Linked DNA regions of Caenorhabditis elegans. The protein of the gene in region 2 purifies or fractionates together with the protein of the main gene of each other region. This does not show direct contact. Each region holds a gene or a part of one and is shown on either strand. Other genes may lie near its edges. The genes, in order: mes-2 and chd-3.

Region 1 (15,663 bases), on a different chromosome or scaffold from region 2:
TAGGAGTGCAAGACTATTTGAGACTGCAATATTAATAGAGGCTGCAAGACTATTTTTCGATTGACCTCTAGGGGTGCAAGACTAATAGGGGTGCAAGGCTAATAGAGGCTGCAAGACTATTTTTCGATTGACCTCTAGGGGTGCAAGGCTAATAGAGGCTGCAAGACTAATAGAGGAAATACGGTACCTATAACCTGAAAAAATACACCACTTAAATATACCTTGAAAAATACATGCACCTTTAAATTAACTTACAGTTAAGCTCTTTCTGATGTCTACGTAATGCCTATCTTCAAGGCGACCTACAACTGTCTCATGCCTACATTTTTTTAAAATTTAAATTTGCCCTACATTTACAAATAATCTTCAAAAATATGAAAGCTCACTTTTTCGAGTAAACCGGAAATGTGACAGAGAATGAAAAAAAAAAAAGAAATTGTGGGGTTTTCTCAGTCATCCGAGAGAAAAATATATGTACATGAGAAAAAAGTGGTGTGAAAAAAGAGTGTGTGTGTGTGTGTGTAAGGGTCCATGTAATACACCGGAAGTACATTTGATTTGGACCATAAAATTGTTAGAATGTTATTGGAAAAGAGAGAATATATGAAAAATTGGATATGGGCTTGAGAAAAATGTAAAGGCTGTCGGAAACTTTTCACTTTTCAGGCATAAAAATGTATACCTTATTGGCGACCTACGCCTGCCTCATCCCTACTTTTGAAGTGACGCTCGCTGTCATTAGTAATGATTTTTGGACAGAACATTGTTTATAAATAACTAAAAATGTTTCCTTTTGCTAAGAAAAAGTTTAACGACGTAAACAAATTTCAGAAACATCAAAGACAATCTCAGTTTTTCTCAACATGTAAACAAAAATCAGAAAAACCGAAATTCAAAAAACTAAATTTAATTTGAAATTCAGAGATACATATAGAAGGAAAGAAAATCTCAATGACTAGTACAACGAATTACTGCCAATGTGTCCAGAATCCCCCAAAAGAAATTCCGAAAACAAAACAATTTTGGACATCGAAAAAAAATATTGAGGGAGATGCTATAGAATGCTCTATTCTATAACATTCTATCCGTTTTTTTTTTCAAAAAAAAAAACAAAAAATTCGTAGATTCATGTAGATTTTTTCAACATTTATCTTGAAACTTTTGAAATTGTTTTTTTTTCAAAATCTTTAAATTTATATTTCAATATTGTTTTCCAAATTAACTTTGAATTCTTAAAAGTTTTGTAATTTTTGAAACATTCGTTTCATCTCAAATTAAAATTGAATTAAATACTGGAAATTTTTCTAACAAGTTAAGTTAAATTTTAAATGTGAAAATTCCCAAATTTTTGTGTTTTTATAAATTTTTCAAAATGGGTGAAACGAAGCTGACAAGGGTGGTGTTTTTGGGCTTACCGACAAAAAAAAATGTAAATTTTGTGTTTTCGTCACATTTTGGAAGCTCAAGTTAGAACACCAGACATTTCAGAATATGCAAGTTTGAAGTGGAATACTCTAATTTGTAAGGTTCTGGTTCGGCATGCTAAAACTAAAATTTAAATTTTGCTCCAAGGTCTTACAGCAATGGGTCTCAAGTTAAAAACAAGTTCAGTAAGTTTTAGACAATTAAAACTACTTTTGGAAATTAAACTAAATTTTTCTAACCGGATTTACCTGAGAATTTTCAAATGTATATATATTATAAATCCCAAAAAATAAACAGTTAATCTTACTAAAACAGAAAAGTGGAAAAACGTCAGAGTATACTTCAAAATTTTATGAATTTTCGTCACCGGAAAACTTGTGCAGTCAAGCGAAAATATCTTAAATCTCTTGAAAAAGTGAGCTGGTAGGTTGACCCTTGCTCACATTTCTTCTTTGCTCCTTCTCATTGGCCCGCCTCTTTTTAAGAATAAAGTGAGTCTGCAAGATGAAGTGGAGGAGCAGTGAAGCGGTGTTTGTCGAATTTCCGTTCGACTCTTTTTGAGAGGACCAGGAGACCACGCCAAAAAATTGAGGTGAAATCGAAAAAATGTATTTCAGAAAAAAATCCTATGAACTTATTTTTGTGAAATTCAAGGGTTAACTGGATCATAATTGATGTGCCAAACTTTAAAATTCAAATTTTTGCTCACCAAAAACGTCTCTTCTCTGTCTGACCGCACAGAAAATTTCCGTCGAAGAAATTATGTACAAATAAAAATATTTAATTCCACCAGAAGCGGTGGTAATCATTTGGAACTTTCAGGACACCCATTCCCGCTTGTCTTTGCTCTTTTTTACCCCCGTTTTATTGCTCCTTTTTAGTACACCGCCGTTTTCCGGAAATTTCCTCGATCGTTCGGCACAATTGGTCCAAGGGGAGTCGTCAGAAATGAGAATGTATATGAGAACTTTCAGTATTTTTTTGTGGGAAATAGAGGTTTTTGAAAAGTGTTCTGGAAAACATGAAATTCAGCATATGAAAAATCACTTAGGGGTTGGAAAACTTTCCGAAATTATCCATTAAAAAATCTGAAATTCGAAGATAAAGATGTATTAATTATTAAATTATGCCATTTACTCTTTGCCATATACCATATACCATATACCATATACCATATACCCTAACTGCCTAGGCTCCTAATTGATAAAATAGTCTGAGTACATACATAGATTAGGTTACCGAAACAAGTTCCGCACAGCCATTTTAAACATGCCAACAGGCAGGCATGAAGGAATCAATATTTATAACAAAAAATGTGCTTTTTTCCAGCATTTTGAAGTGGGATTATGATTGAACGTCTGAACATTTTTGTCATGAACTAATGCTCATTCCCCATACCTCATTACGTCAATAGAATCAATAAATACGAGCTGTCATGCGCATCGCCACAGTGCTCCCGAAAGTGTAATTACAGCACTCTGCCGACGTGCTGCAATGCTACATTGACCTCCTTCCCTGGACAAACGCTGCAATGTTGCAGCGTCCGAGGAGACAAACAATGAAGAAGACCAGGTCAGTCTTTAATATTTTTTTATGGTGTTTGGTGACCTCTTTTTCTGTTTTATTAAAGTTATTTTTCTAAAATCTTATAGTATAACTTATACATTTTGTTCAAATTCCAGATCAATTCTCCAGATCAAAAATGAACCGAACTGAGATCGAGATCGAGCTTTTCGCACGTGTCATCAAGAGCGGACACGAAGAATCGGTAAGTAAATAGCTTTTATTTTGAATCGTAATGCTTAAATTCCCGTTGATTTTCTTTAGCCCTACCTTCCGGGGCTGTGCGGCTTGTAGAAAAATTGGGTTATCGGCTGAAGCCGACAGCCGCACAGCCCTGCTAACTACTACATATACTCAAAATCCAAATATGAAATTTCAGATCCAAGAAGTCTTGAAAACGTTGCCGGAAGTCCCCTTTACCGTCGAAATCCTGGACAAGTGCAACATCGCATGTCTGATCGATCAATTTGTCCCGAACTTAGCGCCGGCCACCGACTTTGCCAGAAGGATCAGAAAATGGAGGAACGCAAGCATGCAAAGGGAAAAGGCCAAAATTGTAAAGTATTTCACATACGGAACATTGTACGATTTTGGTGGAACATTTGTCCCGGACCATGTTTTGAAGCTTCTCACTGATATGATGTGTTTCGATGATTTGGCTCTTGTAAGTTAAATGGTCACTAATTTCAGCGGGAATTCAAAAACAATTATGGTTTTCAGGTAAAATGTGCCTTCAAACTTCTCGGTGCATTGGAGCTATCACTTGCGGATTTCGAGTACTATAGAGTGCACGAGACTGCTGCTCAGTTCCAGTACAGATTTGTTGAAGCAGACGAGTTGGTGCGAAAAATTGAACAATTGCGACGGGAGCTGTCAGACGAGTCGTTGCTGGATCAAGATGCATGTTTTTTTTCAAAGAAAAGTTTAGGGTAACTATTAATTTTCCATTTTAGATCCCAAATCTCGAAATGGATAATTTCGATCAGACAGAGCTGCTCCCAAAACTTCTCGATAATCTCCACTTGCATGGTGATCAAGAGGAAGGGCACTACAAAATGATGGAGAATTATGAGTGGGCCCTTTGGGAAGTTCTCATGGTGCACCTGGTGCAATCAATTAAGACTGGGAATCGACGAGTGGTGAGTTATAGATTAATTTTTACAATTTAAATTATAATATGATATTTCAGATCACAAGAGCCATAATCCACCACCAAGAGCACCGGTTTCCACTGGCACTTTACAGAAAATACGAGATCCAATCACTGATCCGAGCTCTTCCTCGTAAGATCTCAGCTGCTTCACAACTATTTGATGAGATCGAGCTAATTGAGGAGTCCACATTGAATTCCCAGCATATTGAAGCTTTCCGGGAGGTGAAAAAAGCTGTGAACGGAATGGAAGAAGGAGAAGAAGCATGGCCAGTGCTCATGTCTTTGATGATGGGATTCTTGAAGCAAGACGATGGATTTGTGAGTTTACCTCTGATGTTTTTCTCTATTTTCAAAATAATATTTTTCAGGTTCACGGAGCCGTTGAGTTGCTACTGAATTGCAATATTTCACGGGAGCGATTTGTCGAGTTTGCGGTGGAGAATACTCTACTGAATCTTCCATATCGAACTGAAGAGATCAATGAGCTACTGGTGAAGATTCGGAGCATGGAACCGCGTCAATAATAGATTTAATTTTCTTAAAAATTTTTTTTGTAATTTTTCCAAAGTTCAAATAAAATTGTTCTTGGAATTATTCAGCCTTACTAGTAATAGTTAGTATGCAAAATTTTGCAAATATTACGGTACCCGGTCTCACCAAAACCAATTTTGGTTAAATGCAAAAAGGTGTGTGCCTTTAAAGACATAATTGCAAACTCTCAGGAATTTTCATCGATTTTTTTATAAGTAGGTTTTCCTAAATCCTTTTTTCGAAAATTTATTGATTTTTTTTCTATATTTAATATAAGCTTTTTAATATATTGCGATCGGAAAAAATTCGATGAAAACTCCGCGGCCACGAAAATTTGACTTTTATGTACTTTTTTAAAGGGTGCATATATTTTCGCATTTAACAAAAAATTGCTGTGTTGAGACCTGGCACCGTATTTTTAGCATAAAAATGGCAGAACTTCGCGCCTGGGTAACATATTTTGCAAAAAGCATTTGGTTTTCCTTGTCAGATTCAAATTCCAAACCTTCGCGCCAACTTCACATTATCAATAGGGCGCGATTGCACGCAACACTTGCAATGTTTTTAAAAATTAAAAATTGTTTGTTTTCGATTTATTCTCTCGTCTTTTTCGTCTTAATACAATTTTCTCCCTTTTTAAAACGCAATATTCTTTCAGAATGAGCAACTCAGAGCCCAGCACATCAACTCCCTCAGGAAAAACAAAGAAGCGCGGGAAAAAGTGCGAAACTTCTATGGGAAAATCGAAGAAATCGAAAAATTTGCCTCGCTTTGTGAAAATTCAGCCAATTTTTTCATCTGAAAAAATCAAGGAGACCGTGTGCGAACAAGGAATTGAAGAATGTAAACGTATGCTTAAAGGCCACTTCAATGCTATCAAAGATGACTATGACATTCGAGTAAAAGACGAGCTGGACACAGACATCAAAGATTGGTTGAAGGATGCGAGCAGCAGTGTTAATGAATATCGCAGAAGGCTGCAAGAAAATTTAGGAGAGGGCAGAACTATCGCAAAATTTTCATTCAAAAACTGTGAAAAATACGAAGAAAACGACTACAAAGTCTCCGATTCCACAGTTACATGGATCAAACCGGATCGAACGGAGGAAGGAGATTTGATGAAGAAGTTTCGTGCTCCGTGTTCACGTATCGAGGTTGGCGACATTTCCCCGCCAATGATATACTGGGTTCCAATCGAGCAAAGTGTGGCGACTCCGGATCAGCTGCGGCTCACGCATATGCCGTATTTTGGCGATGGTATTGACGATGGGAATATCTATGAGCATTTGATTGATATGTTCCCAGATGGAATTCATGGATTTTCGGGTGAGAAATTGCAAAATACCGGATTTTTTCCATTTTCTCTGAGAAACCCCCAAAAATCGAAAAAAAAACAGGCGGGACGAAGGTACCATTATTTCTATTTATTTTTACATTTTACATTCAAATTGCCTAATTTCTCACTTTTCAGTGAGAAATCGCCGTAAAATTTTTTTGAAATTTTATTTCAATTAATGTCATTTTGAATGTCAAACACAAAATTAGTTTTAAAAAATAGCCTTGAAAGTGAAAAATGCGAAAAACAAGTTCCCACTTGTCCACGTGTAGTTCTAAATGTTTCATAAATCGACATGCATCAAACCTCGGGACAATCTTGCAAATCCTTAGCTCCAGGTATTTTTTAAGCGAATTGATGTTAAATTTTTCAGACAACTGGTCCTATGTCAATGATTGGATACTCTACAAACTATGCCGTGCTGCGCTCAAAGACTACCAAGGCAGCCCAGACGTATTCTACTACACCCTCTACCGTCTATGGCCAAACAAAAGTTCACAGAGAGAATTTTCGTCGGCTTTTCCCGTTTTGTGCGAGAACTTTGCTGAAAAAGGATTCGATCCGTCGAGCCTCGAACCATGGAAGAAGACAAAAATCGCTGAAGGTGCTCAAAATCTTCGAAATCCGACGTGTTACGCGTGCCTCGCATATACATGTGCGATTCACGGATTCAAAGCCGAAATTCCAATCGAGTTTCCGAATGGTGAATTCTATAATGCGATGCTTCCGCTGCCAAATAACCCGGAAAATGATGGAAAGATGTGTTCTGGAAATTGCTGGAAATCGGTGACGATGAAAGAAGTTTCAGAAGTTCTTGTGCCGGATTCTGAAGAAATTCTGCAGAAAGAAGTGAAGATTTATTTCATGAAATCAAGAATTGCAAAGATGCCGATTGAAGATGGAGCGCTCATTGTGAACATTTACGTGTTCAATACATATATTGTAAGAGTACGCGATTTTTGCGCCAAAACCTGGCCTCGACGCGACAAATTTTTGTTAAATGCGAAAAGGCGTGCGTCTTTGAAGAGTACTGTAATTTTAAATTTTCAATAATTTTTCTAACAAGGGAAGAGTTCAAAAACTATTCCTGAATTCGGAATAAAAATAGTGTCATGCGATAGTTGGAGGTCTGAGATGATCCCTCCGAAACATTTTTATTGAAAAATTATATTTCCAGTGAAATTAATTTCTCGCAAGTTTTCTCTTTTTTTTAAAGCTATAAAGCTTGATTTTGCACCTTTTTCGTTATTTTGTTTTTCATTTTGCGTTTAAGAGTTTGTATATTATGTAAATCAAACTATTTTAAACAAAAAATAGCGAAAAATAGGAAAAAAGGGTGCAAAATCGAGCTTTATAGCTTAAAATGCAAAAAATCCATTCTCAGCCATTCTGCGAGTTTGTCAAAAAATATGTCGACGAAGACGACGAGGAAAGCAAAATTCGTTCATGTCGTGACGCATATCATCTAATGATGTCGATGGCAGAAAATGTGAGCGCCCGACGACTTAAAATGGGACAACCGTCGAATAGATTGTCAGTTGACGCGATTTTTTATATAAAAAATTGAATTGTTTCAGAAGTATCAAGGATCGAGTCAACAACTTCCGTCGTAATCAGTTGAGTCAGGAGAAGGCGAAGCGTAAGCTGCGTCACGACAGTCTGCGTATTCAAGCATTGAGAGATGGTCTGGATGCGGAAAAATTGATTCGAGAAGATGATATGCGTGATTCTCAGCGAAATAGCGAGAAAGTTCGCATGACCGCGGTGACGCCAATCACAGCGTGTCGACATGCGGGTGAGGAATGGAAAACAATTATGGGGTTATTCGTGAAATGTAGAAAAATGCAATAATTTGTTTTTATACATTTTTCACCTACCCATGTGCATCGAACAATGTAGCATTAATTTTTTGCATTTTTCGACATTTTTCGGCATTTCCTGCATTTTTCGACATTGGGCGACATCCCACTTCTCATGCTGAAGGCGAGACACGCAGAGAAAACCCGCGGGTGCATATCTCTCTGCGTCTCTCGCCTTCAGCATGTGAAGTGGGCTGTCGACCGATGTCGAAAAATGCAGAAAACGAATATTTTTTTGTATTTATTGGACACACATGTATTTATTGGACACAAATGAATGAAAACACATTTTTGCACATTTTACTACATCGCATTAATAACCCCATTAATTGAAAATTAATTTTTAAACATTTCAGGCCCATGCAACGCGACAGCCGAAAATTGTGCATGTCGTGAAAACGGAGTGTGCTCGTACATGTGCAAATGCGATATAAACTGTTCTCAGCGATTCCCGGGATGCAATTGCGCCGCCGGTCAGTGCTACACGAAGGCTTGCCAGTGCTATCGAGCCAATTGGGAATGTAATCCGATGACGTGTAATATGTGCAAGTGAGTGCACAGGAATTTTTTGAAAAGTTTTTTTAGTAAGCTTTAATTTTTCAGAACTTCCAGAAATGGAAATTTTAAGAAAGGAAAAAATTAAACTTTCCAAAAAAAATTGATCGAACTGAAAATTTCTCGAAAAAGAAGGACCAAATGTCCATTAAAAATCTTCAATCAAAATCCCAAATTTAAAAAAAGGTATATAAAATCAAAATAGCACAGAAAAATCGAATTTTGTACCTGAAAATTCTCAATTTAAAAACAAATTCAGATGCGACGCCATCGACTCGAACATAATAAAATGCCGCAATTTTGGAATGACTAGAATGATCCAAAAACGAACGTATTGCGGGCCATCGAAAATAGCAGGCAATGGACTTTTCTTGTTGGAACCCGCCGAAAAAGACGAGTTCATTACGGAATACACTGGTGAACGAATTTCCGATGATGAAGCCGAACGACGCGGTGCGATATATGATCGATATCAGTGCAGCTACATTTTTAGTATGTACTTTTTTTAGATCACGGTGTCGCAGAAAAATGTTTTAAATTTAAATTTTTTTTGGGTTTTTAGAGACAACATTTCGATTTTTTGAAAATCAAATAAATAAGAAAAAATTATTTCAAAAAATTAACAAAATATCGAAAAAAAAAACCATCAAAAGTTTTCTTTTTTTTTGAAAATTCAATTTTTCGGAACAAAAAAAAATATTTTTGCAGACATTGAAACCGGGGGTGCGATCGATTCGTACAAAATTGGAAACTTGGCACGATTTGCCAATCATGACAGCAAGAATCCGACGTGCTACGCGAGAACGATGGTTGTCGCCGGAGAGCACCGAATTGGGTTCTATGCGAAGAGACGGCTTGAGATTAGTGAAGAGCTCACATTTGACTACAGTTATTCTGGAGAACATCAGATAGCGTTCAGGTAGATTTTGCAAAAAGCTTTTCGGGTCTCGAGACGACTGCAGCTACCGTACCCTCTAGTTTTTTCCACTCAATTTTTAAAAATTTATAACACAAAGATTTTTTTGGATCAAAAAAATCATGATAAGCCGTAGAAAATTGTGGTTGGTTACGGTAGCTGCAAATTTTCGGTCGCTTCGAGAACCAGTTTTGTGTAGACTTTCAACTTGACTTTTTGAATAAACTTTTTCCAGGATGGTCCAAACCAAGGAGAGATCCGAGAAGCCCAGCAGGCCCAAAAGCCAGAAACTCTCCAAACCAATGACTTCTGAATAATCTTTTTTCTTGACTTTTTTTCTTAAATTTTTCCCGTTGATATCACTTTCAAATCTCAAGATCTACTTGTTTAACTGTTATTTCCCTAGAATCTCATGTTTCTGAATACATTTTCCTTCCTTCAAATTTCTGAAAACCATAAATATAATCGAATCAAAATTCCTCCTATAAAATCGCCCGACACAGCACAATTTTTTCACTTCTTCCTTAAAGATGGTGATTTTCTTCTTATTTTTCTTATTTCCCATGCTGCTGGAGGCTTCGGAAACGTAAGTTGGATTTTTTTCTGCAGGAAAATCTGAAAATGACAAAAATTCCAGTAGCAGAAGCTTAATCGAACCACCGGCCGTAATTCCTGAGAAACTCAAAACATTTTGCCAGATCGATCCAACGTACGAGATTTGCGTGAAGCTTGGCATTCCGAAAGCTGCGAGAAAGTTTGCAGCGAGATCCAAAATCCAGGGAAGACAGAGAAAAGGCGTCGATTGTAGGCAGGCCCCATTGCATCCGGGTTGTCAGAGATAAAAATGTTCCAAATATTATAGAAAAATTCCAATTATAGAAATGTGTACCTGGACAAGTTCATCGCGTGGAAAATTCATCACGATTGCGAGGTGAATCCAAATGGAGAATTTTGCCCGAAAACTTTGAATCGGAGAGCTTCTGCTTCTTGTCCATCCTCCTCCACATCTTCATCGTCTTCTTCGTCGTCGTCCTCGTCTTCCTCATCATCATCCTCTTCTTCTGAAGAATCCCTGGCAAGAGTGAGACCGGCTCCTGTAGAAACCACGACATCACAAGAAAATCCACAATCTTCCGCTAACACCTGGGAACTTTTGAACAAATTTTCCTCGAACGGAAGAGAGAAGAGTTTCCCTAATACCTTCTACGGAACAATTGGAAACTATTGAAATGTGATGATGATAACAATATAATAAATGAAATGATTTAATATACATGAAAAGAAGGCATAATTGATACGTGGATGAAAACCAGAGTTAGACCAAGATGTTGGAGAGGTTCGATCTGAAAAAAATACACGTTTAGTTTATAAAGAAGGATTTTTTGGTTAAATAGCTTTAAAATGGACCTATATAAACGAGTCTGGTGGTGAAATATCAAAATTTTTACCGCTCTTCAGTGCCGCCCGCATAATAATAATTAAATAAACATTAAGTTCCGACTGCTGCCAGCCACACAGTAAAGTAGGCAAAACTGAAGATTTTAGTCCAGATTTTAAAAACTTTTGAGCAGTTTCTTCACAAAACTTATTTTTAATTAAATCCCTTACAATTTCTTTCTATTCCCATCGTTAGGCTCATTCGGCGTGGTTTTCAAGAGATTGACGTCATCCGTCCACTTCGCAGATATTGCTTCCAATTTTTCTGGAGTAAATCAGATAAATTGTTTCAAAGACTATCAGCTTACTGTTAAATTCCCGCTCATTTCCAATTTTGTTCTCATCGTCCAATCTTTTTAGTTTTTCTTCCAGTTGCTCAGTTTCAAACATATTTTTGTTCAGTAGCTGTTGTTCGAATGACTGTTGCTCGTGGCGTTCTGAACAAATGTTTTGTTTTATGCACACATCTAAACAATTTCCTTGCAAATTTACCATCGATATGTTTTTGAGCATCGATTCTCGTTTTCATAATTTTTTCCTGGCATTTTTGGAGTTTCCGCATTCCTTCATCAACTAATTCGTCTTTCTCATTGACTGCCTTAAGACGATTAATAATCTTGTCCATATACTCGTTGAGTGACTCCATTTTGCCGAAAAACCTGCAAAAATTCAATGAAAATCGGTTAAAAACTAAGATAAATAAATAAAAATGCGACAGCAAAATTAGCAAAGATAAATTCCAACTCAAATTCCCGCGTCAAGAGGGCCAAGGTCTCGTCGCGACCATTGCAAATAAATGTGTGCGCCTTTAGGGTGTGCCTCTCGCACTGAGTCGATTTACGGCGCGGCGCGTTCAAAAAAGTGTCCAAACTGATTATTTAGACGGAAAAGTGAAGGAAAATTTCGGAAAATTATTATTTTTCCTTTTTTCCCATTGTTTTTTATGTTTCCACTTGAGAAAAGCCGATTTTCCGCTGGAAAATGAGTTTTATCCCATTATCGATTTTTTCAGCTTCAAAAATTAAGATTTCGTACTGTAGTTTACCAATCCTGGATCCTTTTTTAATGTATTTTTATCTAATAATGTTATATTCCGATTGTCATTTCTCGCAAATTTTATTGATTTTCCTCCAAAGACCATATGATGACGTAAAATCTTTTTTTCTTGGATTTCAAGCTCTTTTTCACAATTACCAGTGTTCTAATTTGATTTTAAATTTATTCCTTTCGAGGCTTTCAATATTTTTTGACGAACATTCTTAAGCTTATCGATTTTCGAAAAGTTTCGAAATTTTTTCAGATGGCTCCACCACGTGGCCGTTCAAAGCGAAAGCATCCGTCTGAATCCGGAAATTCTTCAATTGCCGATTCAGAAGACCCATCAGAATCCACATCATCATCTCGTCCACGCCGCAGTCGACTTCCGAAACGTTATTTTGACGACGGTTACAGTCCACCGCCAACAAAAAAACGTGCGGCTCAACGGGAAACACCATCAGACGCCGAGGAGGTGGAGGTGAAGATTGAAGAGATCTCGGTTAGATCTACACCTGCGTCAACACCAGCACCAAAGAGTACCTCGAAGGCTAGAGGGTGAGAAATCAAGAAGAAAAATAATTTCAGAAATTCCGCTGATTTCAGATAATTTTCAATTAAATGCTTTTTTCAAGTTTTAACGCAAATTCTTAGGATATTTCCGCTTTCGTCAAATTTTCAATCGAAAAAACGTATAATACGCTTTTTCACGTCGTTCACAACAAATTATTTAGATTTAAAGAAAAACTATGCAAACCCATTTGCGATGTACAAAAATTTGTCGTTTCGAGATCATATTTTCGCGCCTGGGTAATACCGAATACAACTGCAAAATGTTTCGAATTTTTGCAAATATTCAAATTCCGAAGGAACTATGCTTGCGTTCTCCGGCCAATTTTTCGGGTTTTCTTGATTTTTTCTCATTTTTTCAGAAATCGAAAATTCAAAATTCTTTTTATGATAGTTTTGCGGAAAAACGCCTGAAAACGAGGCTACAATTTGCATAATCAAGAAAAACAAAAATAAAGTGTTCCGCAAAAAAATTAAATTTTGTTTTCAGAAAAATGGAATTTTACTCAAAAATTGAGATTTTTTTTTCACAATCATGGATTTTTTTTCCAAAAAATTGGGAATTTTTCTGAAAAATCCCAATTTTGCAAAATTAAGAATATTTAGAAGCTATATAAATCTGCCTGTTCAGATTAAAAATAAATTCCATCAATTTTCAGCCGACCCAAAAAAAATCCAACTCCACCACGTCGCAAATCGCTAAAACGCCAAGAAGAAGACATTATCTACATGGATGAGGATTCTGAAGAAGAAGAAGAATCTTCGGACGATGAGTTCATGCTAAATGAGGATCAGGTTGTTCAGGAGGAAGAGGAAGAGTTGAATTTAACAGATATTAAAATCGAAAAAGGTCTCGACGAGGAGAACAAGTATTGTCCGTGGTTGGATGAAGATCCTGCAAGTCTACCAAAACTCGAACTACCAGAATCTAGTCAGGATATTCCGATTCCAACGGCTAGTATAATGGATGCTGTTGAAATTTACGAGATTCTCCGATCTTATCATCGAACTCTCCGCATCACACCCTTCACTTTTGAGGACTTTTGCGCGGCACTAATATCGCACAACAACTCATGTATTATGGCAGAAGTCCATATGGCTTTGCTTCGTAATTGTCTGAAATCCGACGATGAAGAGCAGACGCACTACTCGGTGACCGAGACGAACAATTCTGTAAATATAATGATTCACCATATGGATACACTGACCTACGCTGAAATTCTACGACAATATATTGAGGCGTACCCGTTTGCTGATGCGTCTGTTAGAGATGCTATTAATGTCGATAATTATCCGTTTGTGGGATATGATGCAAAGTAAGATTCAATTTTAAGAAAAATCCTTTTTTTTTTAAATAAAATCGCAGTATACAAAGAGACTTTAGTTTTTTTTTTAATATTAAGCATGTTTTCAGACTCGTCGTCCTTCTCTTCATGAGCTACCGTTTCTTATATTCGTCGGAATTTAAGAAACTTGTGAATAATGTTGGAAAATTCCAGGTAAAACTCTCGTTATATAAAAAATTTAACTGAAAGAAATTCAAATGTTTTTTTTTTCAGAACGACGAAAACTGCCGAGTTTGCGGTAAATCGTCAGGACGTGTAGTAGGTTGCACTCAATGCGAAGCCGCTTTCCACGTGGAATGCAGTCATCTGAAGCCATTTCCTGAGGTTCTTGTATGCAATATATGTAAAAAGAATTCAGCAGTTCGTGGTGTACTGCCGCCGGATGAAGCTGTCGACCGGGAACCGTTAAGATCTCAACCAATCGGAAGGGATAGATATGGACGATATTATTGGTTCATTGTTCGACGTCTTGTTGTGTAAGTTTTTTAAAGTGGAGTAGCGTCTGTGCTTTTTTTACCTGAATGATAGAATATCGTGCCTATATACCAAATATAACTGTAAAAAATTATAACATTTTTCTAAATTTTTTAATGATTTGTTTCAATTTTGAAAAAATAAAAAGGGCTCAATTATTTTTGAATTGTCGCGCAAATAAGTGACGTCTTTTTCGGATGTTTTGATTAGTTTTTCTTCATTTTTTCTTTGTTTTAATATTTGTAGATTTTTCAGACATTTTCCGGACAGAACACTTTTAGAGGCCAAATTATCGATTTTTAGACAAACTTTAATTTTTTTGGCACATCAATTTAATGTTTGAATAAGTATTCTAAAATTTGCCTAAAATTTGCCTAAATAATATGATATTTTTAAAAGGTTTTTTTACGGAAAAAAAGTGTCTGAAAAATTGACGTTCAAAATTTTCAAATTATAAAACAAAGAAAAAATAAAGAAACTCCAATTAAAACAGCTGGAAGAAATGCCGTCACTCATTACGCACGGGAATACAAAAATAATTCAGCCCTTTTTTTCAAAATAAAAAAAATCATAAAAAAATTAGAAAAATGTTATAATTTTTTAACAGTTATCGTATATTCTCTATTAGTGCTGCATGTAGCACTAATTTTCCTACCCTTCTTGAATGCAGCACTATTAGAGACTGCAGTATTACTGGAGACTGCAGCATTAATCTTCAAACGGCAATTTTCAATTAGAGAATACTAGTTGTTAGTCACAAAACCTCTTATTTTTAGCAGAAATTCATCAAAAAATATGAACTTTCGTACCAAGAATGACCCAATAATTCAATTATGTTTGTAAATAAAAAGAAATAATCAAAAATATGCAAAACAACTCCCCAAAATGCCGAAACTACTAGTGACTCTTCCAATTGAAAAAGGGACGCAGCACTAATAGAGACTGCAGCACTAATTTTCCTACACTTTTTGAATGCAGCACTATCAGAGACTGCAGTACTACTGGAGATGCAGCACTAATAGAGAATATACGGTATACCGTATTTCCTCTATTAGTAAGGCGTCTCTAATAGTTTTGCACCTCTATTAGTATTGCATCAAAATTATCTATCGAAAAATAGTTTTGCCGCCTCTATTAGTTTGGCACCTTTCATAGTTTTTCACCACTATATTTCTGTCCTATTTTTTGAGATTCCAAAATTTGCAGTATAAAATCCTTCAACAAATCAAAAAAAAAACTCTTACAGACATGGTATAACATTTTTTACTAATAGAGGAAATACGGTATTTGGTATATCGGGACTGTATTCTGTCATTGTTAGGGCAAAAACCCACCTTTAACTATTTTATTGTTGGCAAAAAATTAATATTCAATAATTGCAGTCAATCCCTTGATGAAACGGAACTTTACTACTATTCAACAGTTCCACAACTCTACCAACTCCTTCAAAAACTTGATCGAAC
Region 2 (16,634 bases):
TGTAAAGGTTTAACATGCTACATTGCACCACATTTCTCAAAAAGGTTATTTGTGAAAAATTTGGAAACTGGCCAAAGCTTTGGCAATACGTTCTTCAAAATTTCTACAACATTTTGAAGGTTATTATTGTTGAATTTATAATAAATGTGTTTACAAAAAAATCTACGGCTTTGCTTATTCATAAGGAAAAACATTGTAACTTCAAATTATTAATAAAGGATTTTTTACTCTACATTATACAACCGAACAGTCAAATTTTCGATAGTTTCTCATTCATGTCTTGTCGGCAAGTTTGTATGTAACATCGATATAATTTTGTGAAATAATTACTGGTTTTTCTTTCAAAATTAATTCTCACTGCGAGATAATGAAAGCTTTTTCAAGTCATTTTTCAATCAGATGAAAATTGTATGCTGCTTTTTGTCGGCTAATGCACCAACCCTGAATTCTTGTTATGAATACAAGCGCGAGGTGTTTAAAGTTTAATTTCAACATTTTTGAATCAACAAGCTCCAAGTTTTAAATTATTAAATAAACCTCCTTTTTAAATTTTAAAACTGGATTCTTTCTATAATATTTTGTTGCCTTTCTGATCTTGTCCTTTATGTGTACCTATAAAAAGTCCCAATTAGTGTTCCGTTGATACCAAGTTCCAATAATCACATTTTCCTCTGGGGTATATATGAATATGTGACCTACACTAAAATGTTGTGGTTTGTGATGTTTTGCATTTTAGTGCAAATTATCCAGACTAGGGTTAATTAGCAAAACATAATTTGGTTACAAAGTAAACTTGTGTTCATTCAAAAGGGGATTTAACCCGTTTTATTTAAATAACACAAATAATTTTTATAAATTTGCAAAACAAAGGGAGTTTCATGATTGGTCTTTGTAAACAATATAGCAAGTTCTATTCAGATTTAATTTCTCAAAAGATGATGATCTTGATGAAATAAGTGAGAAATTGCTCATTTTGATTTTAACAGTTGGGCTATGAATATGACAGTACAAGTACTTGTTTTCAATTAGTTTCTTTATAAATGTGGATGCCAGCGCGGAGCTGCTTATACCGATGTTCGGAAGCCCATGCCTGGTTACACTCAAAATAATAAAACTGCGTGGCGTGTACGCAGAAAACTCCAAAATTAAGGCAGCGCCTTTTTTCTGGAAAATCACGGGAAAATGGAAAAATCGGGACCCCAACCATTATCAGGCCGCCGACATCTTACGGATTCCGCTCGCCGCTATGTTTAAACACGCTGTGGGCGTAACGAGCTGTCTCCTCCCGCTCGAGTTAAACATAACGGCGCTCGGAATCCGTTAAGATGTCGGCGGCCCTGATTTTGGTTGGGGTCTCGATTTTCCGTTTTTCCCGTGAATTTTCCAAAAAAAGCGGGGTCCTAATTTTGGGTTTTCTGCGTACACGCCACGCAGTTTTATTATTTTGAGTGTACCTATAGTTCACCATTAGCATTTTACCAACCTGAAATATTTACTTTGTGTTCATTTTTTTGCACTTAGATTATTATTTTTAATGAATTTTGATTATCTTCCCACAAGCCATATTCAGTTTCAATTTCAACGAAAATGATAATTCGGGTTTCAAATTGTGCAGTTTTAAATAACCATACGAAAAAAAATCATTCACCCATCCGGTTTGCCGATCGAACCCACAATTTTCCCCATTTCTTCGGTAATTATCGTGTTTTCGTTTCAAACAAGGAACTGAAAAAAAAACGATTTTCGTGTAATGAAAATGACCCAAGCAAAGGTGACAGAAGGGAACATATCTGTAATTTACATCAATAATAAAGCGGTGTTCATATGACAGGAAAGCGGAGAGAGAGGGAGTGATATGGTGTAGAAGCAAAAGGGGATCAGTCAAGGCGGTCTCTCTATAAGTGTGTACGAAAAGAAAAGATGGATGCGGAAAGAAAAACGAAAAGCACAGAAGGAACGGTGGACGCGCAGAAGACGTTGTCCGAAAGACCGCACTAGTGGGTGGAGACGCCGAGGAGAGAAACCGACTATGGTAGACCGGTCTCGCCCTTCCATTTGACTGTCATCATTCCTCCTCGTCGTTGTTGGAAAGGGGCGAAGAGGACACGGCGCAGTTTTGTGGATATGTCGTCGTGCAAAAGCCACGTTTACGTTTCAGCTTTCTTATTATGTATGCTTATTCCTATTTCTCAACAGGTAAGAATTGATTTTTGAAAAAATAAATTGTGTGTATTAAAATCGTACACTGTGATCATAGGTTTTTTCTTTAATAGTTGTGGCATTGAATTAAAAGTTATGTCCTGTGTTGTACTCATACACAATTTTTATTTCTGTGGCGCCACGCACTTCAAGGTTTGCACGCATCTTTCTATTGACTCTTCTTCAATTTAGCAGCAGCACATTACGCGCATCTTTTCGCACTTTACTCAGCGGTCTCGTGGTGTAGTGGTTATCACATCTGTCTAACACACAGAAGGTCGGTGGTTCGAGCCCGCCCGAGATCAGTCTACTTTTTTAATTTTTGTATTTTTGCAGGTTCTCAATGAACACAATCAGAAACTTGAATGGATTGTTGGAAAATGGAGGTCAGAATTTTCAGGAAAGGTGCGTTTTCCATAAATGTTATGTGAGAGTTACATACAAAAAATTGAATGGATATGAGTTTTTCCATGAATTCCTCAGTCTTTGCACATTAGATAGTTTAGGGTTAGTTGCTGTATGGGAAGCTATTGTTTTTGTAAACCGCTTACATCAATTTGTCAAAAAAGTAAATCGTGTAGTGATCTTCGAGATCTGTCTCGGTAATTTTTTTAAATTAAAATTGATTTCAATAAACCCACGTAAAAAATAAACTAATTTCCCAACTTTCGGTATTTTCAGATTTTTTGGCCAACTGTGCCTACAATGACATTTGGAGAGGAATTGGTCATCAATGAGGCACCGATTGCCAAATCAGCCAATGTACAATTCTTAAACTTCTCGTAAGTTTTTTTGACCTTCAAATTATTCAGCAATAGGTCAACATTGCATAGCAAACCAAATCGACTGTAACAAACAAAAACTCACCGAAAGAGAAAGTTTCACGCACTTCCTTATGTCCGATTTTTGTCATTGAAAGATATCAGACAGAGATAGTTTCATTAGTGTTTTTTTTTTTGAGTAGTGTGGTTTTTCCTAAACAGGGCGCAAAACGTGTTCGATTTGAAGGAAGTGATCATTAATCAAGTGAAACGTTAAAAATTCGGTAAAGTGCAACGGTTGATGTTTCAGAGCACGTGCATGGTCTCATTCTACCAAGGACCACTTCCATGACGAATGGGGATTCTTGACTGTTGATCCAGTTGGAAACGCCACTTTGATGACTACAGGAAACAATGGTGAGCTTTTAAAACTTCAAGGCTCTGTCGATTAGACTGACAGGGCACGTTTGACTCCAATCCTACAAAAAAACTATACTCTGTTAACCTTTAGTATTCTACACAGGAGCAAAAATGCCAACCTATGTGGTTACAACACAAGTAGCACTAGTTTATAAAGATTCTACTATTAAAATTCTTACAGCAAAGCTAAGGTATTTTGAAATTCTCATCTCTTTTGTTCGTACACTCTTGTGTGTTTAAGTTTTTTAGCATTCGATATTATTTGTTATTGGTATCATAACATTCCATACCATTTAAAATGCCACTTTTGAATTTCGAAAAAGTCCGAAACCCAATTGCAGGATTCACCACATACGAAACTGGCACCGTGTCGCCAAACAAACTGGTTCTCACATTGAAGGATATCGGACGCATCTCGTTCTCTCGAGATTTACCTGTTGAGGACGTACGCGTTTCTAATTACATATAGAATTTTGCACTGCTATTTTAATTATTTCCAGTTGCGAAGAACGTTCATTCGCCACGACGACCGGTATATGGAGCAAGTGATTGAAATGAGGACGGCTACACACCCAAAAGTCGGATATCTTGAGCATACCAGAGTGGTCTACACCAAATTGAAATGATTCCTCAGTTGTTGCCATAAAATAATATATATTTTGGAAAATTGCCTTGAATAATTTGAAGTTTGCGTTTTTGTGCTTAGTGCCATTGCGTGTACATTTTTGAATAAATATTTTATGATTTTGTACCATGTCGTTTGATATAATTTTCTACGAATGAACAATTCACCGGAGTTTCAAATTATGGAAAGTGTTGCTGACTTTTGCAATCCCGAGGCAACTGCTTTCACTTTTCATTTTGAGCATATTTTGTTTTTTTGGCAGCAGTTGGATACTAATTCTTGTTGTTTAGTCTTAACCAAATTTATGAATTTGACACGCTTTTTATACATACTTTGTTTTTTTTTATTTACGGCCGAAAAAACAAAACTGTGTGGAAATGGTGTGTGTGGAAAAAGGTTTTTTTTTTAATAATAACAAAAAAAATCTAGTTTTGACATTTAAAAACAAAACCAGCTAATTAAAATGTTTTATCTCTAGGAAACATTGTTTTTAAACAACTGTTGACGATTTTTATAAAATATAAACAAATTTATACACATTTTTTGTTTTCATGATTTATTTAAAATCTTCTTTTTTGTTGAGTTAGTGCGGGAAGTTGGTCTCTGTGAGGAATAGTTGAGAAATACTGCGCAGCACTGAAAATAAGAAATGTTGTGTGGCAATTGAAGCATTTTTTCCCATTTTGAAGCTCAGACCAATAACTCAAAAAGAATTAAAATAATACAAAAAATACATACCTGTTTATGAAGTTCCATCAGCTGTCGACTCGCATCTTCGTTGTTCTCACTAACCATTAAATTTTTGACGACTTCTTCAACATGTTGCTCTCCGAGTTCTTTGTCGATCTTCTCATAGATTTTTTCGACCACTTCGTTTGCCATGACTGAGAGTTTTTGAAGCCAATTATTGCTTTTCACGGTTGTTGTGTGCCGCCAGGAACAATTATTGCATTGTTAGAAAAGTGATTTCCGGAGTTTGAATAGCGGCTTGATTTTTTGAAACTTGACAACTTGAAAGCACATGTTTTTGTGTCGTATTTAACCACCGGCATTAAATTTAAAAAAAAAATCGTCTCTGCAAAAAAGTTCGCTTCTGACCACCCAGTACTTTGAACATCCAATTTTTCATATCATAGTATTTGAAGCTTACCCAATTTCCAAACTAATATACTTGAGACGAAATATCAATGTTTATGTGCGATACAAAGAGTTTTCAATGAATGATTATACAAAAATCGGCAAAACATGAATTTTGACGACAATGACAAATGAAAAATGAGAAGAGACCGAACATTTTAAGTAAACAAGAAAAATGACAATTATTCACGGTTATTCCAAAGTTAAAATCCACGTGGCTTAATATCTCGGATAGGACGAACCAGCAGCTGCTGACGTTGAGGGAATATCCTTGTCAGATGTATCCATTGGCTCTGAAATCAATAAAATGTATTGCTAATTTTGTCATCTCAAACTTGAAGTTTGAACATTAGCCACTAACCATCCTTCGTTGCAGCAATTGATGATGCTCGGGATGCCTCGGCGACAGCTGCAGATATTGATCCTTCAATATCAATAGGTTCATCATCAGGCGACAAATTACAGTCAAATAGAGAAGGAAACTTTGGCTGGATAGTGGTGAAGTTTTGATTGAACAAAGGTGTGATGAATGGTCCGCTTGGTGGGAGTGCTGGCTTGCTTGGAGCAGCATCGGGATCCTTGGCGACTACTAAGCGCGATAGAATTCTGCAAAGAATAAAATTCCAGTTTTATATATTTCTCGTTAATCACTCACTGTCGTTCACTCATTTGAAGTCTTTCGGTGACTGGCCGAACTTGAGAGATTGTTGCTGGCAGTCTTGCAACGTCGGTTTTCAAGTCGGAAAGCAAATCATCGAGTTGGGCAAGGCACTTGTGAAGAATCGCGTTAGCATTTCTGTTTCCATTGTTGCTTTCTCTTGCAATATTGACGTGAGCATCAGCAGTGTGCTCCAGCTCCGAGAAATGCTGAGCCAATTGGCCAACTTGGTCAGGAGACTGTTGTTTGTTGATGTGAGCTGCACGACGAAGTTGTTCTTCAATGACCAGTGATTGCTCGAGAAGTTTGAAACGACGAGCCAAAAACTTGTTCTTCACGTCAGCAAAATTAGTGGCAGGATCTGCACCAGTTTGTTTGAATGGCTCATTTACAATCGAAAATTTCGGATCATTCATAATATCTTGGAAGTTAATTTGATAACGTCCGTAGCCATAGACTGCCACAGCTGCCAAAAGCCAGAAATCGTGCCGGCGATGCCAAATCTCATACTCTTTTCCATTGCGAGCCACCTTCTCTTCATTAATCCAAAGACTATGAAGCTCAGTGTATCCTCCATCGCAAATATTAAATTTGTATGGTAAACGAGGAGCTTTGGGTTCCTCCTCGACTTTCACTTCACTGGCAAGTTCTTCTGTTTTAGTTATATTGGACTGATCAACATCCATCGGAGTCTCATCAATATCAATTGGCTCTTCTTTGATCTTAATCATTCCAGGTAAATTCGAAACTGATGCTTGAGCTGCGGTGGCCAACATCTTTTCACGTGTCTCTGGCATTGACCATTCTCCATTGAATTTTTCAAACTCTTGCACTTTTTTGCGCAGAATCGACATCAAGCCGATACGACTCAGAACCGCTTGACGATTGAGACCTTCACGTGGAACACCATCCATAAAAGAGTCACTGTTATCCACAACCGGCTCACACAGATGGCGCATGAAGAGGGATGAGTACGCCTTGAACACTTTTTCCGATTTGTTCCTGAGATCTCGAACTTGCCATGATGATTGGGTGAGGTCTTGTGGTGGCATTCCCCAACGCATGACAGCATTGTAAAAGGCTTTTCGTTGACGTGGGTTGAATCCGAGAACCTCAATTTGGCCATTGACCTTGGCAAGGAGTGGTGGAAGCTTTTCGGATCGTTCCTCGCGACGTCGGCGCCTTTCCTCATAGTCTTCGTCAGTTTGGAGTAGTTCCCCATTGTCGGATCCGTATTCTGAGCCGTCATCTTCCTCTTGTTGTTGGTTCTAAAAATTTAAAAATCAAGAAAACAACTACATTGATCTTCCTTTATAAGCATTTCAATTATAAATTTAATAACATGCCCTCACTATTTTGGTTTTCAGAACTAATCAAAATTTGGTCAGCAAATATTTTTGTGGTTTCATGTGGCATGCGCTTTTTTATCAACAGAGCGTATTTGCCGCCGCAGTTGTGAGTGAGAGCTTGGCAGCAAAAAAACTACAAATATCGTTGGCTATCATTTATGGAAAAAAAAAGAAACTACAACAACTCACATTTTGAGCAGACCAGTCTTGTCCCATATTTTCACTGGCATAATTGACCTGGCGACGTACTCGCTTTCCTTTTCCCAACTTCTGTAGCTCAGTTTCTTGGTCTTGTTCATAATGATGCTTGAGCAACTTCTCCCAATAGTTTGGATCTTGCTCTTCCGTTCCCTCTTTGATGACTTCTGTCTCATCTTCATCATCATCTGCGTCGTCTGCTTCTTTCGTATTATAAGTGGCTACTTTGAAAGAGCTCAAATATTCATTAGTCCAATGTTCCTTCTTTTCACCGTCCTGACCTTCTTCCTCCTTGTTTCGGTCCAACAGGAAATCGACTGCAGCGTCATCCCAAACAATTTCTTGTTCGTTCGGCTTTTTAGAACTGGTTCCCTCTCCGTCTGCACCCTCAACTGGAGCTTCTTCTTCTTTGAAAAGCTCTTCGGTACCCCAACGTAGAACGTCGTCAAGTTCAGTTTTGCTCATGCTCTTCCCATCTTTAGCTCCCAGACCAGCACGGACTACCAAGTGAGTGAGAAGCATCTTTTTCTTGGCAACTGATGTGATTCTTTCTTCAACTGATCCTTTTGTGACAAAGCGGTAAATCATTACTTTGTGTTTCTGACCAAGACGGTGAGCACGTGAGAAAGCTTGGATATCATTGTGAGGATTCCAGTCAGAGTCATAAATGATGACAGTATCAGCAGTAGCCAAGTTGATACCCAATCCTCCAGCACGAGTAGAGAGCAAGAAGACAAACTGTTTCGCTCCCGGAGCATTATATCTATCGATTGCGTCTTGTCTCTGTTGACCAGTGATACTTCCATCAATACGTTCATACTTGTAACCTTCAACATCACAAAAGTCTTCAAGAATATCCAACATCATCGTCATCTGTGAAAAGATCAGCACGCGATGACCTCCATCCTTCAGCTTTCGCAACATTTTTTGCAGAAGGACAAATTTTCCGGCATTTTTGATAAGCGCACTTCCCTCGTACATTCCATTTTTAAGTTTTGGAGCTTCCAAACACGCTTTCATAAAGAGATACGGATGGTTGCAGCATTTTTTAAGTTCCATAATGATGTTGATCAACGACATCTGGGTTCCACCATTCTTCACATTCAACGCGTCAAAATTGCGAGTGAGAATGTTCTTGTAGTATTTCTTCTGCATCGCACTGAGCTCTACACGGACAATCAACTCTTGCTTGGATGGCATTCCAGTAAGGACGTCAGCTTTAAGACGACGAAGCATGTGTGGGCCGAGCAGGTTGTGAAGTTTCTCAATTTGATCTTCTTTGGAGATTTCGGAAAACTCTGCTGTGAAGCTTTCAAGCTGGCTGAAAAATTAACGATATAAAAAACCCTATCTAGTTAAAAACTTACTTAAAGCGGTCTGGTGCGAGGAAATTGAGAAGATGAAACAGCTCCTCTAAATTGTTTTGAAGTGGAGTTCCAGTGAGAAGCACACGGTACTGAATGTTGTATTCTCTGAGGTTTTTGAAGAATGTCGATTGATTATTTTTCAAACGATGAGCTTCATCAACGACTAGTGCAGCCCAGTCAATGGATGAAAGAATTGCCTTATCCATATTAATACATTCATATGAAGTGAGAAGAACGTGGAATTTCAAGTTTTCCAATGTCTTAATCTTGGAAACTTTTGGCCCTCCTCTGACGGCTCCATCCACAAATGAAAACTCATGCTCACGAATGACCATGCGCGATTCACGATCTCCAACATAGGTAACGACGTAGAAGTCTGGACACCAAAGCTCGGCTTCACGTTCCCAATTGATGATAGTAGACAGTGGAGCAGCAATGAGGAATGGCCCCTTGGTATGCCCTTCTTTCATGAGTGTGTACAGGAATGTCAGAGATTGGACGGTTTTTCCGAGACCCATTTCGTCGGCAAGAATGGCATCAGTTCCATTCGACCAACAATGTCGCAGCCAGTTGATTCCTTCCAATTGGTATGGATGAAGATTTCCCCCAGTTTCCGAAATAAAGTCTGGTTGCACTTCGTATTTTTTGAGGATCTGAAAAAAACGAAATGGTGAATTTTGAAAACTTATTTATTGAACTTACATCAATTTTTTCTCGTTTCTTTCTTCTCGAGGTGACTTCATCCTCCTTAGGTCCCAGTCCCTTAGCTTCACGCTGCTTAGCAATCATCTTCTGCACATTTCTAGGAACTTCGTCGTTCAGCATGCGTTCTCTGTGATGCCAATACTTGATGATCGCATCTTCATAGTTGGCAATATCCGTATCATCTCTTTCCCAGGTCGCGTGCTCATAAGATAGCTCCTTCCACTTGACTAGGTAGTCTTGTTGAGACTTTGCATATGACAAGTGATTGATAATACGATGAATTTGCATCCATTCAGGCTTAACACCATATTGGTAGAAACGCTCGCGTAGTTTGTATGGATCATGATCGGAATGATGGCGTGAGAGTGTAGACTCCTCGAAAATCGGTGGATTCTCGGAATCGACTTTCCGCCAGTACATGCGAACAAGCTGAAATAAATAATCATATTTAATAAACAAAAGTTTTTTTTTTAAATTTTCCTGACACAAACATACCGCTGTGAAGTAGACATCCATCAACGTCTCCGAAAGCCACTCGCACTGCCAGTAAGCCAAATACTTCCACTTGACAAAGAACTCCCGCTCTCGACGAGGCTCCATTTTGCGGGGAGGTTTAAGGAACACGTCGTCTTTGCTTGCTTCCTCTCCTTCTTTACATTCCAATGGCTCCGGATAGCTGATTTCCTTCCATCTCCAACTGAGAATCTTCTCAATTCTTTGAGCCGGCTCGGGAATAATGCAACGCGGACAGGACCATTCGCCTTCGGGAATTTCGGTAAGTGGAGGATCAATGCAATAGGCGTGATAAGAGCTTGGACAGGTGTCGCATAGAAGAATATTTGAGGTTTCTTTGCAAATTCGACAATAGTCCATGTTTGCCTTAGCTGGTTCTTCTTCAACTATCAAAACATCCGGACCGTGCTCTTCACAATGGGGACAGCTCCAATCTCCTTCTGGTGGCTGCTCCATGTTCTCATCAATGCATGCAACGTGGTATGCACGAGTACAAGTATCACAGAGCATAAGCTCGCCATCTTGATTGCAAACTTCACAGTTCTCTTGATGGTTTTCTTCCACCACTCCTTGCTCTTTACGTGCTCGTTTCGATGCTCGAGCCGATTCCAATGCGGCCTTACGTTTGTCCACTTTTGCTGCAGCCCGATTAATGCGAGCTTCTTCTTTCCCCTTCTCAGCTTCATCTTGTTGCTTTTCATGTTGTTTGATCAAGGCCTCAAACTCCTGATCACTGTCGTGACCGCCACCTTCACCATCTGATCCGTCACGACGCTTTCTGCGAGCAGAAGAACGAGTCTTCTGTGGAATGATCTTCTCTTGAGGTGTCACCGGAACGGGTACCGGAACAAACTTCGCTCTTTGTTGCTTTTGAATTGATTTGCCGTGTGCTGTCATGTGATCTTGAAATTCTTTGTATTTTACTTGAAATAGAGGGTACATCTTTGTGACGTTTGTGCCGGGATTCACTTTTAAAATGTATGGCTTGACAAGACTCGAAAAGTTCTGAAAATTTAAAGTTTTTGTTTAGGACAAGAAATCGTACATTAAAAAACTCACTTTCAAATTGGTAATCGACTGAAATTCCTCCTGCTCATAGTCCACATCAACGTCGGTCAATCCTATTGCTGCACTGATTTCTGCGCTTGTCGACTTATACGGATCCGGGTAATCACAGTTGTTTTTCTTTTTCGAAGATTTCTTTCCGCCCTTCTTCTTTTTTGGTGGTGGTTTTTTCTTCTCAGAAGTGGTCGGAACTCCCTGAGATTCTTCAGTTTCCACCTCCTCCTCATCTTCGCCGACATCTTCTTCTCCATCCTCATGACCTTCTGCTAGCATGGAATCCTCCTCCATTGTCTCATCACCGTCGATTGATTCGTGTTGATCGTCTGACATTGTTCTTTATGGGAATTACTGAAAGAAGTAATGTTATTAAATTCGTCTTTATATTTTTACGAGGAGAATAAGCGAAGAATAAGAAAACCAGAATTGAATGACCAAGCAACAAAATAACTGAGCCTATCTATTTTATGTACAAAGTTTACCGCCGAAATCCTAAATTTTATGCGGACTTAGCAATGGAGCGCAAATGCATAGTTCCAAAAAATACCAAATTTCCATCTTGAGAACGGTCTGTGGCTGTGAGTTGAATTACTTTGCCAAATATTTTGTGAGAGACCGGATTGATTTGTTGATTTTTTTTTTATTTTTAAAAGATTCAAAGATGCTCCACAAAAATTTTTTCTCATAGCGCAAGGATGATGACACAGTGTGAAAATAAGATTCAAGAAAACCCGTTTTTCGGATTTCAAAATTATCCAGACTAGTTGGAAGACATTAATGAAGACACACATTAAAAATCTGAATAAGGGGATTGTCCCGCCAGGGGTGTCTCATTGTGTCCCACTCGTTGCGTCATTGCGGGGACATCTAGTGTGAGGGTCAGAGACGCGCGCGCGCTGGCGTGTTTGTTTACTGCGAACTCGGTCAGATAAAAAAAAATGAGAGAAAGAGATATGCAACGAGACGAAGACATAACGGGCATAAAAGTTCGAAAGAAGCTCACGTTTGTTCAGAATAACTGATGAGCTTTGTGGAGAGAGGACGAAAACTGATAAGAAAGTCACAATTTATTTTGGAAAGTTTTAAATAGGACAAAGGTCGAATGATCGAATTTTTTATTCAAATTTTGAAACATGATACAGGATCTCAATGGCTAATAGGGAAAATCATGAAAACCATAGAAAATATGATGTAGTAGAGCAAGGAAATAAAATTTTTATCAAATACAAAATTGCAGTCTCGCAATGGAGAGAGGCGTCGAATGAAAAATCAATGTGGATTAAATGAGGCTGGAGCCGAAGCGAGCACGGACGAATATTTTCCGCAGATTAGCTAGAACGAGAGAAACCAGATGGGTGGAGTCTTCTCATCCGACGTGTCTCACACGAAAGATGGAGTGACCATGAGAGACCTAACCAACGATCGATAGGCACGAAGGACAGGTGTTTTAGGACGTGCGCATTGCACACAGCGGTACGAGTGCCCTTGTAAATGAAACTACGAATAGATAGGAACGCATTCGCAGCACTCTTTTTTTGGTAGTCTCATCCAGGTTCTGATCGAAGAGTGAATTAGAACGGTAGTCTTCAAAATTAGTGAAGGAAGCAAATTAATGCCGATCATTTTAAGCAGTTCGTCGATTTTGTCGATTTCGTCAATTTAATATTAAGTTTTTCAGATCCCTAAGCATAAAAACGGTAGAACCACTGTTAACAATAAACGTGCTACTCGATCGTGAAAAAATTGAATGTGTACTACGTACTACGCACGTATACAGAAAAAAAATACACAACGGAATGTGTATTGAGAGAGCCATCTTCAAACCACATTTTACAAAAATTTGAAACCATGTGAATATATATTTTATTGAATTTCTGAACTGAGCTTATCGCATTTTCTAAAGATTAATATACTAAGTGGTGGAGGGGACTAAAATAGCAACATGCAAACAAAAAAGAGTTGGAGTTCTGAACAGAGGAATCGAATAAACGTTGCACAAGAATCGATAAACTGCTTGGCTAGTAATTAGACTTTGTAGAGAACGTTACTGACTACAGAACTAGAGAAAAAGAGCGAAGACCCGATGTGCACACAACAGATGTCCAGTCGCGCATCAAGGGAACATGTGAGCTGGTACACGCCCAAGGCTCTTCTAATTGGTATAGAGGATTAGAAAAATCACAGGAGCACACAGATTTTGAGTTTGATCACTGATCTTCATAGATTCCCGTTGATTTTTTTTATGATTCAGAACATTTTCTGGAAAAAACGTCAAAACCATGAAATTTACATATTCCCATTAAAACCTCCTACGCATTTGTCATGTGACGTTTCAGCACTATATAAGAAATCAGTCTGTCTTAGAGCATCATTGTAAAATTTCAACATGAAATCCTTTTCTATTGTCCGATCCGTCTTCCTCTTCCTTATGGTATTTCTTCTGGTCTCTTTGGCTACAGCAAAAGTGGAATTGGGATGTCACAACTGTAAAAGCATTTGCATCAAGGATATGTGTGTCACCTATTAATCCGTCCGACTTCGTTGTTCAATAAATAAGTTGAATTGTTAAAAATTTTCATCAAAATGAATGGGCCGAACCGGGGATTGAACCCGGGACCTCTCGCACCCAAAGCGAGAATCATACCAATAGACCATTCGGCCATGTTTCCTGGACAATCGCGCGTCTTTCAACCTCCGCCATTCCTTTGATTCACAGCAGCTGCCCATTTTGCGCGTCAAATTAAACGTTTTCAAGGGAAGTCTTTGAGGGGGTCCGTAGATTTGGGGTTCTCATGCTAAAATTCCTACAGAAGAGTGTTAGTTATGATCTCTCCAAAAAATTTAGCTGCCCCGGTCAAGTTTCAGCAAAGTTATGACGTTTTGAAATTTCAGTTAAAAACACCATTGAAATCCACTGTCTTACCATGCAATCCACGCAAATCTCAGCTTGCGTGACCACCGAAAATGTGACACCCACCACATTGAGTTGAAAAATGTCCTCGGTGGCCGAGTTGGGAGTGCGCGCGTCTGATAAGATTTAAGCTTTGGTTCGATTCCTTCTATTTTTGAAATATTTTTGTAAGTTGAATAAAGTTGTAAAACAACTCATTCAAACATTTTTGCGCATTTTTAAAGTGATTTTATTCTTATTCGGGAACCTAGAATCATTGTCCGCACTTTTTGGAAATTTTTATTTTTTTCATTTTTGTTCAAAATTTCTTGATCAACTCCAAGCAAAAAAATCAAAAAATTTCATTTTTCTAAACAATTATGAAATTGCTATGTTGTTGTTCAGAAATGTATGAAACGTACATTACACAAGTTTTAACTCTCTATTCGCAAGTAAACCGTCGAAATGATCTACATCTCACGAACTTTGTGCAAAATATTTAACCAACTTTGAAGTTGCATAACTTCGTTGAGATAAATTATTTTGAAAAATGATCAACTAACAAAATGTTTGTTGAATAACAGTGAACAAAGTTTTAGTTATAAACTTTTTGATACCTCCAGCTACAAAGAAGAAAACAAGGTTGGCATTTGGCTAGTTTTTCTATTAACATTGTGTTTTGGAAAACGGTCACAACTTTTTGGTGGCTGAAGGTATCAAAAAGTTTATAACTAAAACTTTGTTCACTGTTATTCAACAAACATTTTGTTAGTTGATCATTTTTCAAAATAATTTATCTCAACGAAGTTATGCAACTTCAAAGTTGGTTAAATATTTTTCACAAAGTTCGTGAGATGTATCATTTCGACGGTTTACTTGCGAATAGAGAGTTAAAACTTGTGTAATGTACGTTTCATACATTTCTGAACAACAACATAGCAATTTCATAATTGTTTAGAAAAATGAAATTTTTTGATTTTTTTGCTTGGAGTTGATCAAGAAATTTTGAACAAAAATGAAAAAAATAAAAATTTCCAAAAAGTGCGGACAATGATTCTAGGTTCCCGAATAAGAATAAAATCACTTTAAAAATGCGCAAAAATGTTTGAATGAGTTGTTTTACAACTTTATTCAACTTACAAAAATATTTCAAAAATAGAAGGAATCGAACCAAAGCTTAAACCTTATCAGACGCGCGCACTCCCAACTCGGCCACCGAGGACATTTTTCAACTCAATGTGGTGGGTGTCACATTTTCGGTGGTCACGCAAGCTGAGATTTGCGTGGATTGCATGGTAAGACAGTGGATTTCAATGGTGTTTTTAACTGAAATTTCAAAACGTCATAACTTTGCTGAAACTTGACCGGGGCAGCTAAATTTTTTGGAGAGATCATAACTAACACTCTTCTGTAGGAATTTTAGCATGAGAATCCCAAATCTACGGACCCCCTCAAAGACTTCCCTTGTTAGGTCGTAAATGTGACGTTCATACGCAAACACCATACTCGTTTTTGTTGTGAGTTTTCTAAATCTGAAAGATTATTAGAATATTTGTGAAAACTTATAGAGACAGAATTACGAGTTCAATTTCATTTTTTGTTGTCATAAGCGAGAAAAGGGGGTGTTTGATTTGAATTGGGTATTTTTTGGGTAATTTCGTTAATTGGGTAAGGAAGGGTATTCTAAATTCTTAGAAAATCAGAAAAGAGCAGTGAAATGTTTGATGAAAAGGCCTCGAGTCACGTTTTGAGAAGAGATCCTAACAGATGGCTCAAAATTTGTACTGAATGGGAGCCCTGCCACAACAAAAACTGGAAGAGAGCAACTGGTTAACCGAAGAAACGATGGACAAAAGACATTGACGACGCCTTCAAATCGTTTAACAACCCGAGGCTCTTCAAGGAAGAGTTGTAAAAGATTTGGAATCCTTTCTCCAAAGGTTCCATGGTTATAGAGCGCCCGCACTGAACGTGAAAACTGGAGAGAATTTGTCCGAAGTTGCTTGTTAACTTGATCCAAACGGACTTCAAAGTATCAAAGTAAGTAACTCCAGTAGAGAAGCGCACATGCTGAAGAAGGCACCCTAGAAGGTAATGAAAAGGTGGGAAGAGGTACTGGATGTGAATCAACATGTCTCAACTACCAACCAGTATAGTTGGTACATCTTCAACTTCGCTATCTGCAATCTTTATGACGATGGTCGAAAGGATTTATGTCACTATTGATTGAACATGAAGGAGGTTTACGGGGTTGAAACAATTTTAGTTTTTCCCCACAACTGGACACACAATTTTTTCTGCATTAGATTTTGTCAGCTCCAAAACTGTTGCACAGGCTCACCTGCTAGAGACAACTCTCTCGCACAAAGGTGAGAAGAGACGGTGGTGTGGGTGGTTTGTCTCTCCTTTTATAGTGTTCATAAATAACCTATTGATTGATTTAGATCTCACCGTTGCTGGGTTGCTAATGACATGTAGACTCTTCTACTGTTTTTAGATTTTAGTTTTACCCGGTTCTTTTATGAAACGACATTCAAATTAGGTGTTTGATATTCCGAACAATATAATGACTTGTGTTCGCTTCATATGCGTTCGCGTAAATATACACAAAATATTTCTCTCTCTGCGTCTCTATAACTAACTTCATTCTATCAATTGGAGAAACATTCAAGCGTTCGGATTTCAATCAAATCTTCTGATTAGTTTCCACTTTAAAGTACTCTTTCTCAAAAAAAAAACGTAATACTAAC

Evidence for each region.
Region 1: the proteins of chd-3 (region 2) and mes-2 purify together in Caenorhabditis elegans (affinity purification with western blotting, with the first as the bait; one study listed by BioGRID). This does not show direct contact.

The regions. Positions count from the first base shown.
Region 1 is NC_003280.10:14,378,645-14,394,307, forward strand, and holds mes-2 (Histone-lysine N-methyltransferase mes-2), read left to right. Parts: upstream 1-5,328; 5' UTR 5,329-5,331; coding exon 5,332-5,998; intron 5,999-6,381; coding exon 6,382-6,950; intron 6,951-7,392; coding exon 7,393-7,541; intron 7,542-7,585; coding exon 7,586-7,803; intron 7,804-8,223; coding exon 8,224-8,416; intron 8,417-8,681; coding exon 8,682-8,914; intron 8,915-9,130; coding exon 9,131-9,341; intron 9,342-9,573; coding exon 9,574-9,655; 3' UTR 9,656-9,810; downstream 9,811-15,663. Other genes in the region: sdz-26 (SKN-1 Dependent Zygotic transcript), read left to right, coding at 3,128-3,193, 3,368-3,652, 3,709-3,888, 3,942-4,127, 4,178-4,459, 4,510-4,665; F26H11.8 (uncharacterized protein), read left to right, coding at 9,869-9,924, 9,976-10,180; kbp-3 (Kinetochore-binding protein 3), read right to left, coding at 10,654-10,681, 10,947-11,040, 11,084-11,212, 11,268-11,421; nurf-1 (DDT domain-containing protein), read left to right, coding at 12,076-12,368, 13,040-13,696, 13,795-13,879, 13,940-14,202, 15,583-15,663. UniProt on the Caenorhabditis elegans protein: Polycomb group (PcG) protein. Catalytic subunit of a the mes-2/mes-3/mes-6 complex, which methylates 'Lys-27' of histone H3, leading to transcriptional repression of the affected target genes.
Region 2 is NC_003284.9:12,841,257-12,857,890, forward strand, and holds chd-3 (Chromodomain-helicase-DNA-binding protein 3 homolog), read right to left. Parts: upstream 11,346-16,634; 5' UTR 11,328-11,345; coding exon 10,992-11,327; intron 10,938-10,991; coding exon 9,915-10,937; intron 9,849-9,914; coding exon 9,417-9,848; intron 9,368-9,416; coding exon 8,715-9,367; intron 8,669-8,714; coding exon 7,339-8,668; intron 7,069-7,338; coding exon 5,798-7,068; intron 5,749-5,797; coding exon 5,504-5,748; intron 5,436-5,503; coding exon 5,362-5,435; 3' UTR 5,183-5,361; downstream 1-5,182. Other genes in the region: C52G5.2 (THAP4-like heme-binding beta-barrel domain-containing protein), read left to right, coding at 2,125-2,196, 2,536-2,604, 2,881-2,981, 3,271-3,377, 3,722-3,825, 3,881-4,006; C52G5.3 (uncharacterized protein), read right to left, coding at 4,555-4,641, 4,744-4,887. UniProt on the Caenorhabditis elegans protein: ATP-dependent chromatin-remodeling factor that has a role in notch signaling-dependent vulval cell fate determination. May also have a role in pharyngeal precursor cell specification.